Linked DNA regions of Tamandua tetradactyla. The protein of the gene in region 1 interacts with the protein of each later gene in a pairwise test. Links are inferred from orthologs where the notes say so. Each region holds a gene or a part of one and is shown on either strand. Other genes may lie near its edges.

Region 1 (7,386 bases):
TCAAAAGATTAAAAACTTGCAACTACCTACCTTGGCTATGTGCTGCATTGGTCCAAGATAGAAATCATGACTTTTGCTTCTTGGATCTTAGTTGAATTTGAATACATATTTAATTACCTTCAGATATGGGTACTAAAAGTCTGTCTTATGACTGTTGTGTAAAATAAACCTAATCATCCATACATTCAAATTTATCCTAAAAAGAAGTTGTGCATTAAAAACAGGGTATTATGTACTAACAGGGAAAATAAAACCGGTTTTTAATAGGGAAAATAGAACTTTTTGTCATTAAAACTTGAGTCTTTTCAATGTTTAATATTAGATTTGGGCAAATTCATTGAAAGCAAATAAAGCTGACACAAAATTAATTTTACATAATCTACCATTTATAACTAAAGTACATTTTTTATAATAACCTTGGCATCTTGATGTATATACATTTGAAACGGTTCTTTTCATCTTTAGCTTTTTAATTTATATTAATATAAGACTAGGATAGATTAAGTATTTTTATTTTACTTTTGAACTTAAGAGTACTATACTTTAATAAAACTCACAGGAACAATACTTCTTTGCCAAATTTTTAGCTAAAATTTTCACATTCTTTTTTCTGCTACAATATTATTTATATATGTGCTTATCAACCACACATTTTGTATTTAACATTTAGTCACAAATTTTTAAATATACACATAGATTTAACTTCATACATATTGATTTAACTTTACTATCCAGTAATCTCAGTAATATTACAGGATGCTGAATCTCTGTAACATCATGTACAATAAAGATATTTAAATATTTACTATTTTAGCAATTAATATTTTGATTTAACTATTTAAAATGTTTAAATATTAGTAAAAATGGATTAACTAAAGTAAGTTAAAATTTAAAAGACAATGAATGAAAAAGAGCACTGTCTTTAGAGATTTTCTTTTCAATCCAGCAAAAATGAGGATCTCAAACAATATATATGTATTAGATTAGAATAAACAATACTGGATTAGAAAATAGTCTTAATCTTTCAACTCTGAAGTTAGCTTTGCCTTTTATTCTCTATTACATGCTGTTTCCAGATTATTAGAGAACACACAAAACAGAACTGCTGATTTGGTACATACATTTACAGAATTTTTTCTATTTTATGCTAATATAAATTCATATAAACAAAAATAAGCACATAATCTTTAAAATAAGAATTGCTGAGCGGGTCACAGTAGCTCAGCAGGCAGAGTTCTTGCCTGCCATGCCGGAAACCCAGGTTCAATTCCCAGTTCCTGCCCATGCACCAAAAAAAAAAAAAAAAAAAAAAAAAAGAATTGCATATTACATAGTCTATTCTATTTTATAACCTCTTTTTCACATAACATCATCATTTCTCTTTAATATAAAATCCAACTGATTTATTTCATGTTTAAAATATTTGTCATCAAAGTTTAACATTGTCAGGCTATATAACTGTTCTAGAATTATTTCATTCCATTCACTTCTTAAAAAAAGTCAAAATCTAGTTTATATAATTTATCCACCCTTCACAAAATAAAACTAATTAAAATGGCCCAAGAAAGACTGACTACACATTTTTGGTTTTACATTAAAATTAAATGATATTAGCTACAATTCAAAGGGGGACAACAAATTTTAATTACATCTTCCCATTTAATATAAATGTCTTACAAGTTTCCAAAGTAATATTTAGAGATATTAAAAAGTAAAATTAAAATTTATAAAGAATATGACTTTGCTAAAGGAAGCATTTCAAGGTTATCTCCTACCATAAAGTAATCTCAGATTATTTAGAAAAAAAATTTGCTATTGATATGGTGTCAATATTATCTGAGAAAACTAGAACATTCTGCTACTAACCTATTGTGTTACAGTGAAAAAGCACTGGAGCGAACAGATCCATATGAGCTGTGCTTCTTTAGAAAATCATTTTACCTCTTAAGCTAAATTTCTTCTTCAGTAAAATAGAATTATCACTGCCCACAACAGCTATTTAGAAGATTATACTTAGTTATAATCTAAAGCGTTTTTTTAAAATCAACATTTCTAAATTTGGAGTAAAATGCTGGTGATCAGTGAGGGGGAGGGGTGGGGTATATGGTATACATGAATTTTTTTCCGTTTTCTTTTTATTTCTTTTTCTGAATAGATTTAATTGTTCTAAGAAATGATCATGATGATGATATGCAACTATGTGATGATATTGTGAATTACTGATTACATATGTAGAATGGAATGATCAAAAATTGCGAATGTCTGCGTTTGGTGTTTTTTTGGTATTTTAAAAAAAATTTTTAAATTAATAAAAAAAATAAAATAGAATAAACATTTCTTAGTGATGAAACCAAATTCATCTATTTGATCCATAGGTGAATCAAACTGCTTCAAAGTGAAAAGTTTAGGCTATTAAATTTTAAAAAATACACTATATCACACAGCTTGGATTTCTTAAAAAGAAAATACTCTATAAACATACTACAGATTGCCAGTCAGCAAACTACAGTCCAGGTGCCAAACCCAGCGGGCAGCTGTTGTTATAAATTAAGTTTTAATGGACACAGTCCTGCTCATTCACCTCTATGCAACAAAATGAATATGGCCCACCAAAGCCTAAAATATTTACTCTTGGTCCTTAAGAGTAAACACCCCTGTTAATAATGACTGGAAGCTGAAATTGGTCAGTATATCCAAAAAGGAACTAAAGGGAAGAAAAAAATGGAGAATTATTAAAACACAGTCTTAAATTTAATCCTCTAAAAGACTACTCTCAAATCCTAAAAGTAAAGTTTCAATCACAATCAGAATTAAAATATGAAAATTTTGGTTACATAAAACATAAAAGTAATATAGAAGTATATTAATAGTTGTTTAGAGTAATAAAGTATATCTTATTGCCTTTTAAAATTAAAGCCAATTATTATTTCCGTTATAGTATTTACATTTGCTTTATATAAATTATACTTTTTACCTGCTAATGGCTTGCTCCTCATCAGTTATTCCAGTCTCCCTGAATGCCCTGTTCGATTCTGCCAAACTCAAGGCAATTGCCCTCTGAAGATCATCTTTATCATCTCCAGTGAGATCAATGACATCTGAAAAGCAAAATTATCTTTCTCAAAATTAAAAGTCAAACAAAATGAAAAGTAATTCTTATCAAATATCAAATATATGCTATTGAACCAAAGTCAATATCAACTTAATTCTGTATTTCTTTATAAGAGCCTCTCTGAAGAGAATGAAAACATTTTAAATTGGTTATACTTTAATTAATCTTTTTCTTTAAAATATATCTGAAGCAACAAAAATATTCTTCATTGCAGAAGAATCTCAGGATTTACTCTATGATCTCTGACTAGAAGCTAAAAGGAAGACTAGCAGACATTTTCCTTACCAACAAAAATTGAAATCAACACAACTAAATATTTATATCTATGAGTTCTAAAATTAACCCAAATGTACACAATTAAATACCTCATCAGCTTTAGCAACTATTTTTTCAAAGACATTAACATTACAATTTGTCTACACTACCACTTAAACATTATTTAACAAATTATGATAATTAACAACTGAGCCCTTGAAAACTGTTTCAGAAACTACTTGACCACAGATATATGCTTATATATACAATTTTTAATTCTGAAACGAAATGTCAAACTGTTAAGTGTGGTTAATTTCAATGAAGATAATTATGAAAAGGTAAAGAACTTTCATTTCCTATTTTAAATACTTCTGCCCCATCTGAATTGTTTTATATCATGCAGTCCTTTTTATGTCAAACAAAACTTTTATTTCAGGTGAAAACAAAGAAATTTACAAATAAATGAAATTGTTCCTCTTTCAACAAAAGTTAAGTAGCTTTAATGCTACTCTTCTTCTTACAAAAAATAAAGTCTATAGCTTTTACCACCTTATATAAAACTTCTTTTTAAGCCAATCTTCTAATATATATTGATCAACATTTTTAACTCATAAAATGACAATAAGAAATATTCCCATTGTCATTTAAACAATGATAGGGACCGTGGAAAACTATTACGTAGGAGAGAGGTAACAGGTTACAAAACAATGTGAAGAGAAAGAAAAAAGAAAAATATCTGTTATTACCTTACATTTAAGTGGATGGGATAATAATATTAAGATGTTCTGTGCCTGTGGTTACATATGTACAGATGATAAAAAACAATAGTAGGTAAACTGCTGCAACTTAGCATAAATAAAGGCAGAAGCACCAAACTGTATGAGTATCCACTGTATTACATACATGCATACTCACTATTAAAAAGCAAAACAAAACAGTTTCACCAAAGAATGTTCTTGATGAAAAGGCAAAAATCAATTTTATTAAATTATGACTTACATGTTCTTTTAAGTCTATGTGTTGCAATAGAAAGTATGTATAAACTACTTCTGCTGTATATCTAGAGCATGTGAATTTCTAACAACAACAACAAAAAAACACTAGTACAATGTGTGAGTACAAGGTGAACTAGCTGCTTTTTCATGGAACGCCATTTTTACTTCCATGAAAACTACAAACTATAGTTGTTCAGATTTGAGTATTAGGAAAACATTTTCTCGAAAACAGACAACGTAACACATTCAATTTAAAGAAAACAAATGAGAGTGCTTGTTGTCAATGATTAATTTCCAGATTTAAAGCAAAAATCTGAACTTTGGAAAACTTGTTTCCTCTGCCAGTATGCTTGATGTCTCCACAACACTTAAGGCTTAATCTGGTGAGATAAGTGATGATATTAACAGATATGTTTTTTAGACCATAGATATTTATCCAACAGTTGGAAGAAAATATTTTCCAATAAACATGCACAATGTTAAAAAATCACGCATGGGCAAAAGATCTATTCAAAGGGCAAAACTGACAATGGATTTTAACGTAACAGTAAGAAAAGATGATATATGTGATTCTGATTACACATTGCAACTAATCAAGTTCTAATATAGAATTAAGAAAGAATATTTTTATCTGAACAAGTACTGCTCCCTTTTCTAACTCTATATTTGCATGAAACCAGATTTTCTTCATATACTTTAATCAAAACAATGCATCCCAACAGAATGAATGCAGAAGCATATCTGAGACTTCAGCTATCTTCTATTATGGTAGACAATAGAGATTTGCAACAATATAAAATAATATACCCCTAATTTATTTCATAAAAATATAATTAATTTTTAAAAATGTGTTATTTATGCTAACATGAAATGGATTATTTTAATACGAATAATTTAAACTTTCGTTTTAATTTCTGATACCACAAATTTTGACCAAAATAACTCATATAAACAAAAGGCCTTCGAAGTCAATAAATTTTAAGGCTGTAAAGGGGTCTTAAGATCAAAAAGCCCTGACCACATGATTCATACATGGCAAAAACCATGGTGCTTTAAAGCCAAAATTAAGAAGCAATAGCTTCCTTGAGACAGAATATTCCGTCTCTTTTTTGCCCCCATCTCCAACCCAACCTACTGTCTTACACAGAACCTGCCACACACACTGATATTATCTGCCCTGGCCTTGCAGGGAGAAGACAAGGGACTATTGATTCTTAACTGACAAGATGGGACTTTATACTTTAAGCAGTAGAAGTTCATTATTTGCAGTTTCACTATAATCAACAATGATTTTTTCCCATGTTTCCATTACTCCATAGAGCTGCTTCTTTTCACATTAGTATAACAAGCCTGAAAGAAACGTATTATTACCTTACTCATATACCAAAAACATTTGCTCTTAAGACCATATATTAAGAAAGTGCAAAATGTTTTTTCATACAGAATGGTTAAACTTGAATTCATTCTCTGGAAATAATGAAGCAATGATTTCTCTAAAACAAGGAATGCTGCAACAATGTTAGAATGAAATCTATCCCATGATTTTCTTATATGCTCATACTCAAAAAGGGACAGAGAATAAATAAGGCTAGCCATAAACAACTGCTAACTAAAAATGCCTCTGTAAAAGTCCCATTCAAATACCAAAGCATTATGAAACTCTTATACCTGTGTCAGGGTAGGTTCTTGGTAAAACACCACTGCCTCTGGTATCAGTGTAACACAGTTCAATGATGCATGTGTGGAAGCGTTACTTTTGGATAACACTTGTAGAAAATTCATGTTACAAAAGCATATAAGCAGCATTACAAAAGCATATAAGCAGTAATCTCCAACATTTTCAACAGTGCCTAAAGTAAAACATTTTCTCTGCAAAATCAGAAATAAACATCAAAACACAAAACTCACCATAATAAATATTTTATTTCCCAAGGAAATACCTTTGTACTAGCTTAAAAATCAACTACCAAATATTTATCAGTCAACTCCAAAAATAAATGCAGTCATCAACTTACTGAACTAGACTTCAAAGGTACATGCTATGTATAACTCATAATTTATTTTCCCATAATAATATTATATTAAGTGAAATAAAGTTTCCGAATTAGTTCACAAAAGCCCATATAACCCATAACCTAGTTCAACTACAATTCTCTATACAAAAGATTTGGATTCTGGAAGAAAAACAATGTTCTTCCACCTTTTTCATTATCTTCCTAGGGAAGGGACTTGTAAAAAAAAAAAAAAAGCCCAGTTTATTTTTAAAACCAGCAAAGATTTCTTAAGGCAAGGGAGTGACATGAGCAGGACTCTGTTTCTGTACTGAAGAGTTAAAGGGTTGAGCAAGAGTTTAAGAAGAGGTAATGAGAATATGACCAGATGGAAACAACTAAAAGAAAAAGCTGTTATACAAAAACTGAAAAACTTGCAAACTGAATGGCTTGGAAAAAAAAAAAAATTAGGCCATCAGAAGATTAAAAATGCTGTTAAAAGAGAAAGGCAAATGGAATGATCATATGCTAAGAACGTTTGTGTTGTTCATTGTTATATTTATTTTTTAATTGAAAAATTGAAAAAAAAAATAGAAAGGCAGATATGAATAGAGGGATGCTCAGTAAGGAGATTGGAAATGTTTCCCACTCCACTTTTCCATCTCCTCTCCCCTCAATCAACCAGCTCCCTCCCATAAAGTGTTACTACTTTTCTGATCTTCTCACTGCTACAGAACTCAAATTCTATGAAAAAGTGCTTTACAATAGAACTTTTGTGATGATGGAAATGTACTATTATCTGCACTGCCCAACATAGTAAGCACTAGTCACATACAGACTATTTTGGAGCATTTAAAATATGACTAGCACAACTTAGGAATTGAATTTTTTTTTTGTTAAATTTTTTATTGAGGCTTCACTACATTTATATATTAACTTGGGGGGAAATTTTTTTTTTTTTTTTAACATGGGCAGGCACCAGGAATCGAACCCGGGTCCTCTGGCATCGCAGGCAAGCATTCCTGCCTCCTGT
Region 2 (7,474 bases), on another chromosome or scaffold:
TTGCAGACAGGTGTGATCCCATGTGCTTTTCTCTTGGTTTTATAAGTGTAGATACTTGGTTACAGGAATTTTTAGACCGCTGCATTTTTTTTTTTTTTTTTTTAAAGGAAAGACAGAGAGAAGGAAGGAAGGAAGGAAGAAAGGGAAACATTTTTAAACATTTTCTTGTTTTATTGTATTCTGTTTCTCCGTTTTTGTTACATGGGCTGGGGCCGGGAATCGAACCGAGGTCCTCCGGCATAGCAGGCAAGCACTTTGCCCGCTGAGCCACCGCGGCCCGCCCTAGACCGCTGCATTTTTAAGAAACAAGTTTCCTTTTCGTAAAGAGGAATTGAGGGCTTGCAGTGGTGGGCAGCTTCTGGCTTCTGACCACACCTGCTTCCCACCTAGGACCCGACATCTGTGGTCCCGGCACCAAGAAGGTTCATGTCATTTTCAACTACAAGGGCAAGAACGTGCTGATCAACAAGGACATCCGTTGCAAGGTGTGTCTGAGGGGTGGGGTGGGGGTTGGTGGGGGGAAGGGCAGGAATCCGGGAGGGCGGGACTGCTCACCTCCCACCCTCCTCAGGATGATGAGTTCACACACCTGTACACACTCATCGTGCGGCCCGACAACACGTACGAGGTAAAGATCGACAACAGCCAGGTGGAGTCGGGCTCCCTGGAGGAGGACTGGGATTTCCTGCCCCCCAAGAAGATTAAAGATCCCGATGCCGCCAAGCCAGATGACTGGGATGAGCGGGCCAAGATTGATGACCCCACAGACTCCAAGCCCGAGGTTGGTGCCTGGACAGGGACCACCACTGTGAAAGGGGTGGTGGACATGTGGGCTCACTCTGATGTCCTCGTGGTTCCCCGACTCTCCCCCCCTAGGATTGGGATAAGCCTGAGCACATCCCCGACCCTGATGCAAAGAAGCCTGAGGACTGGGACGAAGAGATGGATGGAGAGTGGGAACCGCCAGTGATTCAGAACCCTGAGTACAAGGTGAGCTTGGGTTCCAAGTAAGGGCTGGGGTACAGGGTGGGGAGGGCACCGGCCTCTGTTCACCATGCCATTCTCTTCTTCCCCAGGGCGAGTGGAAGCCCCGACAGATCGACAACCCAGATTACAAAGGCAAGTGGATCCACCCAGAGATCGACAACCCTGAGTACTCCCCTGACGCCAACATCTACTCCTACGACAGCTTCGCTGTGCTGGGCCTGGACCTGTGGCAGGTGCGACCCAGAGTGGGAGGAGGATCCTGGGGGCACCTCAGGTCACCTGCGAGGGAAGGGACAGGGTAGGATTCAGACCCAGGCAGGCCCGACTGGAAAATGCTTTGAGAGCCCTGTTGCTGTGAGGCCCTTCCTGAACCTTTACAGTCCTAAAGGCACTTATTGAGTGCCAGGGCTCTCCCTGAGTACCTGTCATTCCCTCCACCAATCTCGGGGGTGGTCAAGCAGCCCTGTTAGAAAACTTTGCTTTGCTAGCAGTGGCAGAAATTTGAAGTCGCCAGCCTAAGGCCATACAGGCGGGAAGGGGCAGAGCTGGATTGGAACCCACCCCTTGTGGGTCTCGCAGCCCCCATTTTTTAACTGCAACTTTAGCTGTGCTGCTTGGTCCATGAGGTGCTTCTTGACTGCTGCAGAGATGCGGCGGCATCTAGTGGTTACAGGAGCACCGCGGGTGGGAGTTTTCCCAAGGCCAGGGCCGTCTTGGGTAACCCACTCCTCACTCCATTCACCCCCAGGTCAAGTCTGGCACCATCTTTGATAACTTCCTTATCACCAACGATGAGGCGTACGCCGAGGAGTTCGGCAACGAGACGTGGGGTGTCACGAAGGTAGGATCGGGCTCCCCCTACCCAGGTTTGAGGGAGCAGACGCAGGGCTGGCGAGTGGGGCCTGGGCACTGAGGCAAAGGCTCTGTCCCCCACAGGCTGCAGAAAAGCTCATGAAGGACAAGCAGGACGAGGAACAGAGGCTAAAGGAGGAGGAGGAGGAGAAGAAACACAAAGAGGAGGAGGAAGCGGAGGACAAGGAGGAAGAGGAGGACAAAGAGGAGGAGGAGGAGGAGGAGGAAGAGGACAAAGAAGAAGAGGAGGAAGATGCTGCCGCTGGCCAGACCAAGGACGAGCTGTAGAGGCCACGCCGCCCGCCTCCGGGGCTGGACTGAGGCCTGAGCGTGCCCGCCACAGCTGGCCGCTCCAAATAATGTCTCTATGAGACTGGAGAACTTCTCATTTTTTTCCAGGCGGGTTTGGATTTGGGGTGTGGTTTATTTTTTGTTGTTGTTGTTTTGTTTATTTTGTTCCCTCCCTGCCACCTCCCCCCAACCTTTTTTTTTTTTTTTTTTTTTTTTTTACCATGCCTTGTTTTTGATGCTCTCTACATCAGCCCCCACCCTTTGGCTTTCATCTTTTTTGATTGACATCTTTTCCTTCCTATGTCCTCTTCCTCTATCCTTTCATTTCCCTCCAGCCTGGGGGGAGGGGGTGGGCATGTGTGGAGAAGTGCCAGGTCTGAGATTCCATCTGCTCCCCTCCCTGTAGCAGGAGAAAGAGTGTGACATCCCCAGGCCCTCCAGCACTGAGGAAATTTGGGGCTCCTAAGACCGTCCCCCCAACCCTTTCCCCTTTTCCTCTGCTACTAGCACTGGGCCACTTCTGGGCGGGGCAGCGGGTTCCAGCTCAGCTCTCACAGAATGTAAAACTACAAACAAAATTTCTATTAAATTAAGTTTTGTGTCTCTCTTCGGTGTCTCCTTCTGGGAAGAGAGCAGAGATCCAGGGATCCAGAGATGGCATTTCTTGGGGAGGAGTGGCTCCTGAGTAAGGAGTTGTCTCAACATTTTTAGCTGCTAAGGAGACAAGGTTGCAGGGACCCTTGCTTGCCAGGCAATCCCAAACCAATAGGAGACTCAACTATTAAAAAGTATTCCATGTAACAACTCAATTCCTTGGACCAAACCTGAGTTTTGGTTCTAGTACCAGTTTGCTTTGATAGGTGAGGAGACTGTGGCACACAGAATTTAGTAATAGGGCTGGGTTTGAACCCACACCATAATCATCATAAGCTGAAAACAGTGGTTTGGCGCTTTAATAAACAGTTTTAATACCAGCCAGTGTGGTTAAAAGCTATCACTTCTTTTTATAATTGAATAAATAGGTTCAGAGATAAAACTTGACAAAGTTTCTCCCTATGATTTTCAGAGGCCAAGTTGGGATTTGAACTTGAAGGGCATGGACCAAAGGGAGAGGCTTGAGGTGGCATTGGGCCTCCGAAACTGACCTAGAACCCCCAACAGCTGTGCTGTCAGGGAAGTGAAAGTCCATTGAGCCGGTTGGAGAATAGGAGAAGGCCGGTGTTCCCTGTTGCAGAAGAAAAGGATAAGATGTCAGCTGGCCCTGGCCTGACCCTATTCTGGCCAATGCTGGTGGAACCTTATTGGCTCCAGTGAAGGGAGAAGCAGCAGGACCTGGTTACAGTTTGATGATGGCCATGAAGTGTCAGGTTTGGTTGAATAGCAAAAGGGGCAGCTTTGGAGGTATCTTGAGGTTGCAACTCTGTCTTCCACCTCCTGGTCTGCACTTGGGCCTTTTGCCCACTGATTGGGAGTTCAAGACCAGCTTTGTCTCTATCCAGCCCCCCAAAGCAACCGTCAGCTAAGGCAAACTGGTGCGCCTTGTTCCCTCCCTAAGTCCTTTGTATGTAGCCTGTGGCCCAGTTCAACCCCTCCTTTCTGGAAATCATGTCTTGTTCTCCAGGTGCCTCCAGGATTGCAGCACCTATGTACTCAGTGGAGAAAGGACTTGAAAACTGATGTCTTAAATATCTTGGGTTCCACTAGGGATAGTGTAGGGTTAACAAAGTTGCAGGGAAAGTAGCAGCAGAAAGGGGAGAGATCCCCCAAAAGGCAGATCCCCCTCAGCAATGAATGAATGAGGCCCCCAAAGAGGGTGTCCTGTTTCCACGCCCAGATGGATTTTTTTTAACTTTTTCATTTCTTGGTGATCTTCCAAGGATCCTTTCCAATCTCAAGTACCTTCCATATTCCTGGCCCCGCAGCCCGCCAGACCAAAATAATGTAAAACTCGTTTGTTAAGGGGAAAAATCCTAAAGATTTCACAGAAGAAATACAAATGTCTAATAAGTACGTGAAGAATTTTGCTCAACTTCAACAAATGAAAAAGCTCATTTGGGCGTGGAAGAGGGGACTCCGGGGCCATTTTGTGGTCGCATGACGTCACCGCTAGGGGCATGACGTCATTCACAGGAGCCACCTGACTGGCGTGTGCTCTGAGTTTGGAGCACTCCCCCGCTTCCCGCGGAAGCAAAGTTCAGTTTGCGCATGCCTGGCCCGAGAGGGCGCTGGTGCGCATGTCCACGAGGATCCGGAGGGGCGCGCGCCCCGTCTGCCCCGGAAGCGGTCGGCGCGCGGCGCGACTGGGCGCTAAGATGGCGGCGGCGTGAGTTGCATGTTGTGCGAGGATCCTGGGGCCGCCGCGTTGCTCGGGCCCCGCCATGGCCGTCACCATCACGCTCAAAACGCTGCAGCAGCAGACTTTCAAGATCCGCATGGAGCCTGACGAGACGGTGCGGGTCGGGTCGGGGCCTAGGGGCGGGAGCGACGGGTGCCGGGGCTTAGGGTGGGGGCGGGGAGACCGGGATCCTAGCGGGAGGGGCGGAGAGGACAGTGCTGGCCGGCCCTGTCCTCTCCCCCACTTGCTGGACTAACCCCGACGAACCTCCGCTGACGCGGTCTCAGACCGTGGTATCTGGGGTCGGTCTCCGGGCGAGGCCCCACCCCCGCGGCGCCCGCCAAGTTGCTACTCCAGTTCCAATGTCAGCGCCCTCACGGGGCGCGGGAGCTGCAGGCTCGGATTCCCAGTCAGACCACGCTCTCCTACACTGGTACTCTGCCTTCCCAGCACTGCAGGAGGCATTTCGGGAGGTTGGTGACCGAATCTGGGAGGGTTGACCCGGAGATGCCGACTGGTGCTGGCGACGATGACACTGATAATAAATGGTCGCAATCGTAATAGTTTCGGCGGTCCGAGTTTGTTGGCGGTTCATTGATTACCAGTTGTTGAGCGTTTCGGAAACCTTGTCTTACTAAATCTGCAAAACAGCCCTGTCGTTTTGGGGATTCTGACTCTCCCCATTTTACAGATGTGGAAACCCAGGAGTTAAAGAATTTTGCCATAGACACACACAGCAAGTAAGTGGCAGAGCTGGGATTCACATTTCGTTCTGCCTCATGTGAGAGTCCATGGTCTAAACATGATGCCCCGGTTTTAGCTGAAAGAAGATTTAGAAAACTCAAACATATTGAATGGGTAATTACATACCCAGCAGTTTTTGCACAACCACCCTGTGGAGGAGACACTGAAGTCCACTTTTTATAGAAAAGGACACAGACTGAGATTTTTTGAACAGCCCAAGGGTTTGATTTTGGCAAATTATTTAATTTCAGTTTTTTCAAACGGTAAATGTAGTTGATGTCACCTGTTTCATGCAGTTATCATGAGGCTTAGAAAGTGTGATACTACACATTTAGATTAGCACTGGCAACTTAGGAGGTTTTCAGTAAATATCAGCTACTTGTTGACCTTATTGTCCAAGGTCAGCCGCAAGGTATAGGTGACCCTCTTCTCTTTATTCTGTTTTTTTATTGTTGTAGTTTATATCATCTGAAGTGTATATTAGTGTCATGTCCGTGAGAACAGGGACTTGCGTTGGGTTTTGTTCCCTCCTGTGACCTCAGTTGTTTGTGATGTGCAGGCATTTGGTAGACACTCCACAGAGTGTCGGGATGATTGAAGGAATTCAACTCCAGCTTCTTTGTCATCAGTGCTTGCAGTCTCTCCTTTCCTAAACCAGAAGAGAAGAGGGAATCTTGGGTTTAGCAATGAGTGCCTGTACCTTTCCTTCCAGGTGAAAGTCCTAAAGGAGAAGATAGAAGCTGAGAAGGGTCGTGATGCCTTCCCTGTGGCTGGACAGAAGCTCATCTATGCTGGCAAAATCCTGAGTGATGATGTCCCCATCAGGGATTATCGTATTGATGAGAAGAACTTTGTGGTTGTCATGGTGACCAAGGTGCATAAAGGGTGCTACCTGGGAGGGCAGTTGGTTTAGCTGTGGAACTGGCTAAGGGCCCATGTGCCCAGGACAGATTAACCATAAACAGGGTGGGGCCACAATGGGACAGGATGTTGGGGCTTGATAGGGGTGCTGACACCCGCTCCCTTTCCCTGGCCGCCACAGGCCAAAGCTGGCTCAGGCACCTCGGCACCCCCAGAGACCTCCCCCACAGCTGCCCCGGAGTCCTCCACAGCTTTCCCACCAGCCCCTGCCTCCGGCATGTCCCATCCCCCACCAACCACCAGAGAGGACAAGAGCCCATCGGAGGAATCAGTCCTCACCACGTCCCCGGAATCCATATCAGGGTAAGGCAGGGGGCAGCTGCTCCGGCTTGGCCCCAGGTTTCCCAGCCCATTTTAGCGCCTGCATCTGTGGCCCCACACTCCTGGGTGGGGGAGGGCAGTATGCCAGAAGCCAGGGTCCGATTTCTCTCTCTTGAATTTGCAGCTCTGTTCCCTCTTCAGGTAGCAGCGGGCGAGAGGAAGACGCGGCCTCCACGCTAGGTGTGTGGGTGATCCCCAGGGTGGAGGCCACCAGGTTCCCCAGCCATTTGCTGGGCCTCATCTGGGTGTCGGAGAGCCTGGGCATGCCTTTCCCTCCCCCTGGTGACCCAGATTTTGCTGCTCCCTTCACAGTGACTGGCTCTGAGTATGAAACGATGCTGACAGAGATCATGTCCATGGGCTATGAGCGGGAGCGGGTTGTGGCTGCTCTAAGAGCCAGCTACAACAACCCCCACCGAGCTGTGGAGTATCTGCTCACGGTGAGGCAGGGCTGCCGCTTCCCCAAGGAGGTCTTGGGAAGAGGCAAAACCTGCTCCCAAAAGACTGGGTAGCAGGAAAGACTTCCTGCAGGAAGGTGGATGTGAGCTGTGGGGTGGGCCTAAGGAGGGCAGGGCCAAGGCCTCCCCCATCTCCTACCAGGGCAGGGCAGGGCATGCAATAGAGGGTGGCGGGAGGTCTGTGCATTAGAACTCAACAGGACCTCTGTCAGGGAATTCCTGGGAGCCCTGAACCAGAGCATGGCTCCATCCAGGAGAGCCAGGTGTCGGAGCAGCCCGCCACAGAAGCAGGTGAGGGACAGGAAAGAGGGTGGGGATGGGGTGGGGTGGTCTGCCCTCGTGGCACCTGAGCCAGCCCGTGGCTCCTGGGAGTCCTGCAAGGTCTCTGACTGCACCCCCTCCCACTGCTAGCAGGAGAGAACCCCCTGGAGTTCCTGCGGGACCAGCCGCAGTTCCAGAACATGCGGCAGGTGATTCAGCAGAACCCAGCGCTGCTGCCTGCCCTGCTCCAGCAGCTAGGCCAGGAGAATCCTCAGCTCTTGCAGGTACAGTTCTGGGGACAGGG

What was found. The genes of interacting proteins can lie anywhere in the genome.
Region 2: the proteins of USP25 (region 1) and RAD23A interact in binary tests that used the Homo sapiens proteins (3 or more experiments, as listed by UniProt). The link is inferred for Tamandua tetradactyla from reciprocal best matches to the Homo sapiens genes USP25 and RAD23A.

The regions. Positions count from the first base shown.
Region 1 is NC_135336.1:73,295,569-73,302,954, reverse strand, and holds the start of USP25 (ubiquitin carboxyl-terminal hydrolase 25), read right to left. Parts: upstream 3,089-7,386; 5' UTR 2,975-3,088; intron 1-2,974. UniProt on the Homo sapiens protein: Deubiquitinating enzyme that hydrolyzes ubiquitin moieties conjugated to substrates and thus, functions in various biological processes including inflammation and immune response.
Region 2 is NC_135337.1:89,717,418-89,724,891, reverse strand, and holds the start of RAD23A (UV excision repair protein RAD23 homolog A), read left to right. Parts: upstream 1-4,397; 5' UTR 4,398-4,508; coding exon 4,509-4,580; intron 4,581-5,921; coding exon 5,922-6,083; intron 6,084-6,251; coding exon 6,252-6,433; intron 6,434-6,575; coding exon 6,576-6,631; intron 6,632-6,763; coding exon 6,764-6,891; intron 6,892-7,121; coding exon 7,122-7,200; intron 7,201-7,320; coding exon 7,321-7,454; intron 7,455-7,474. Other genes in the region: CALR (calreticulin), read left to right, coding at 391-485, 572-781, 877-990, 1,077-1,220, 1,736-1,828, 1,924-2,127. UniProt on the Homo sapiens protein: Multiubiquitin chain receptor involved in modulation of proteasomal degradation. Binds to 'Lys-48'-linked polyubiquitin chains in a length-dependent manner and with a lower affinity to 'Lys-63'-linked polyubiquitin chains.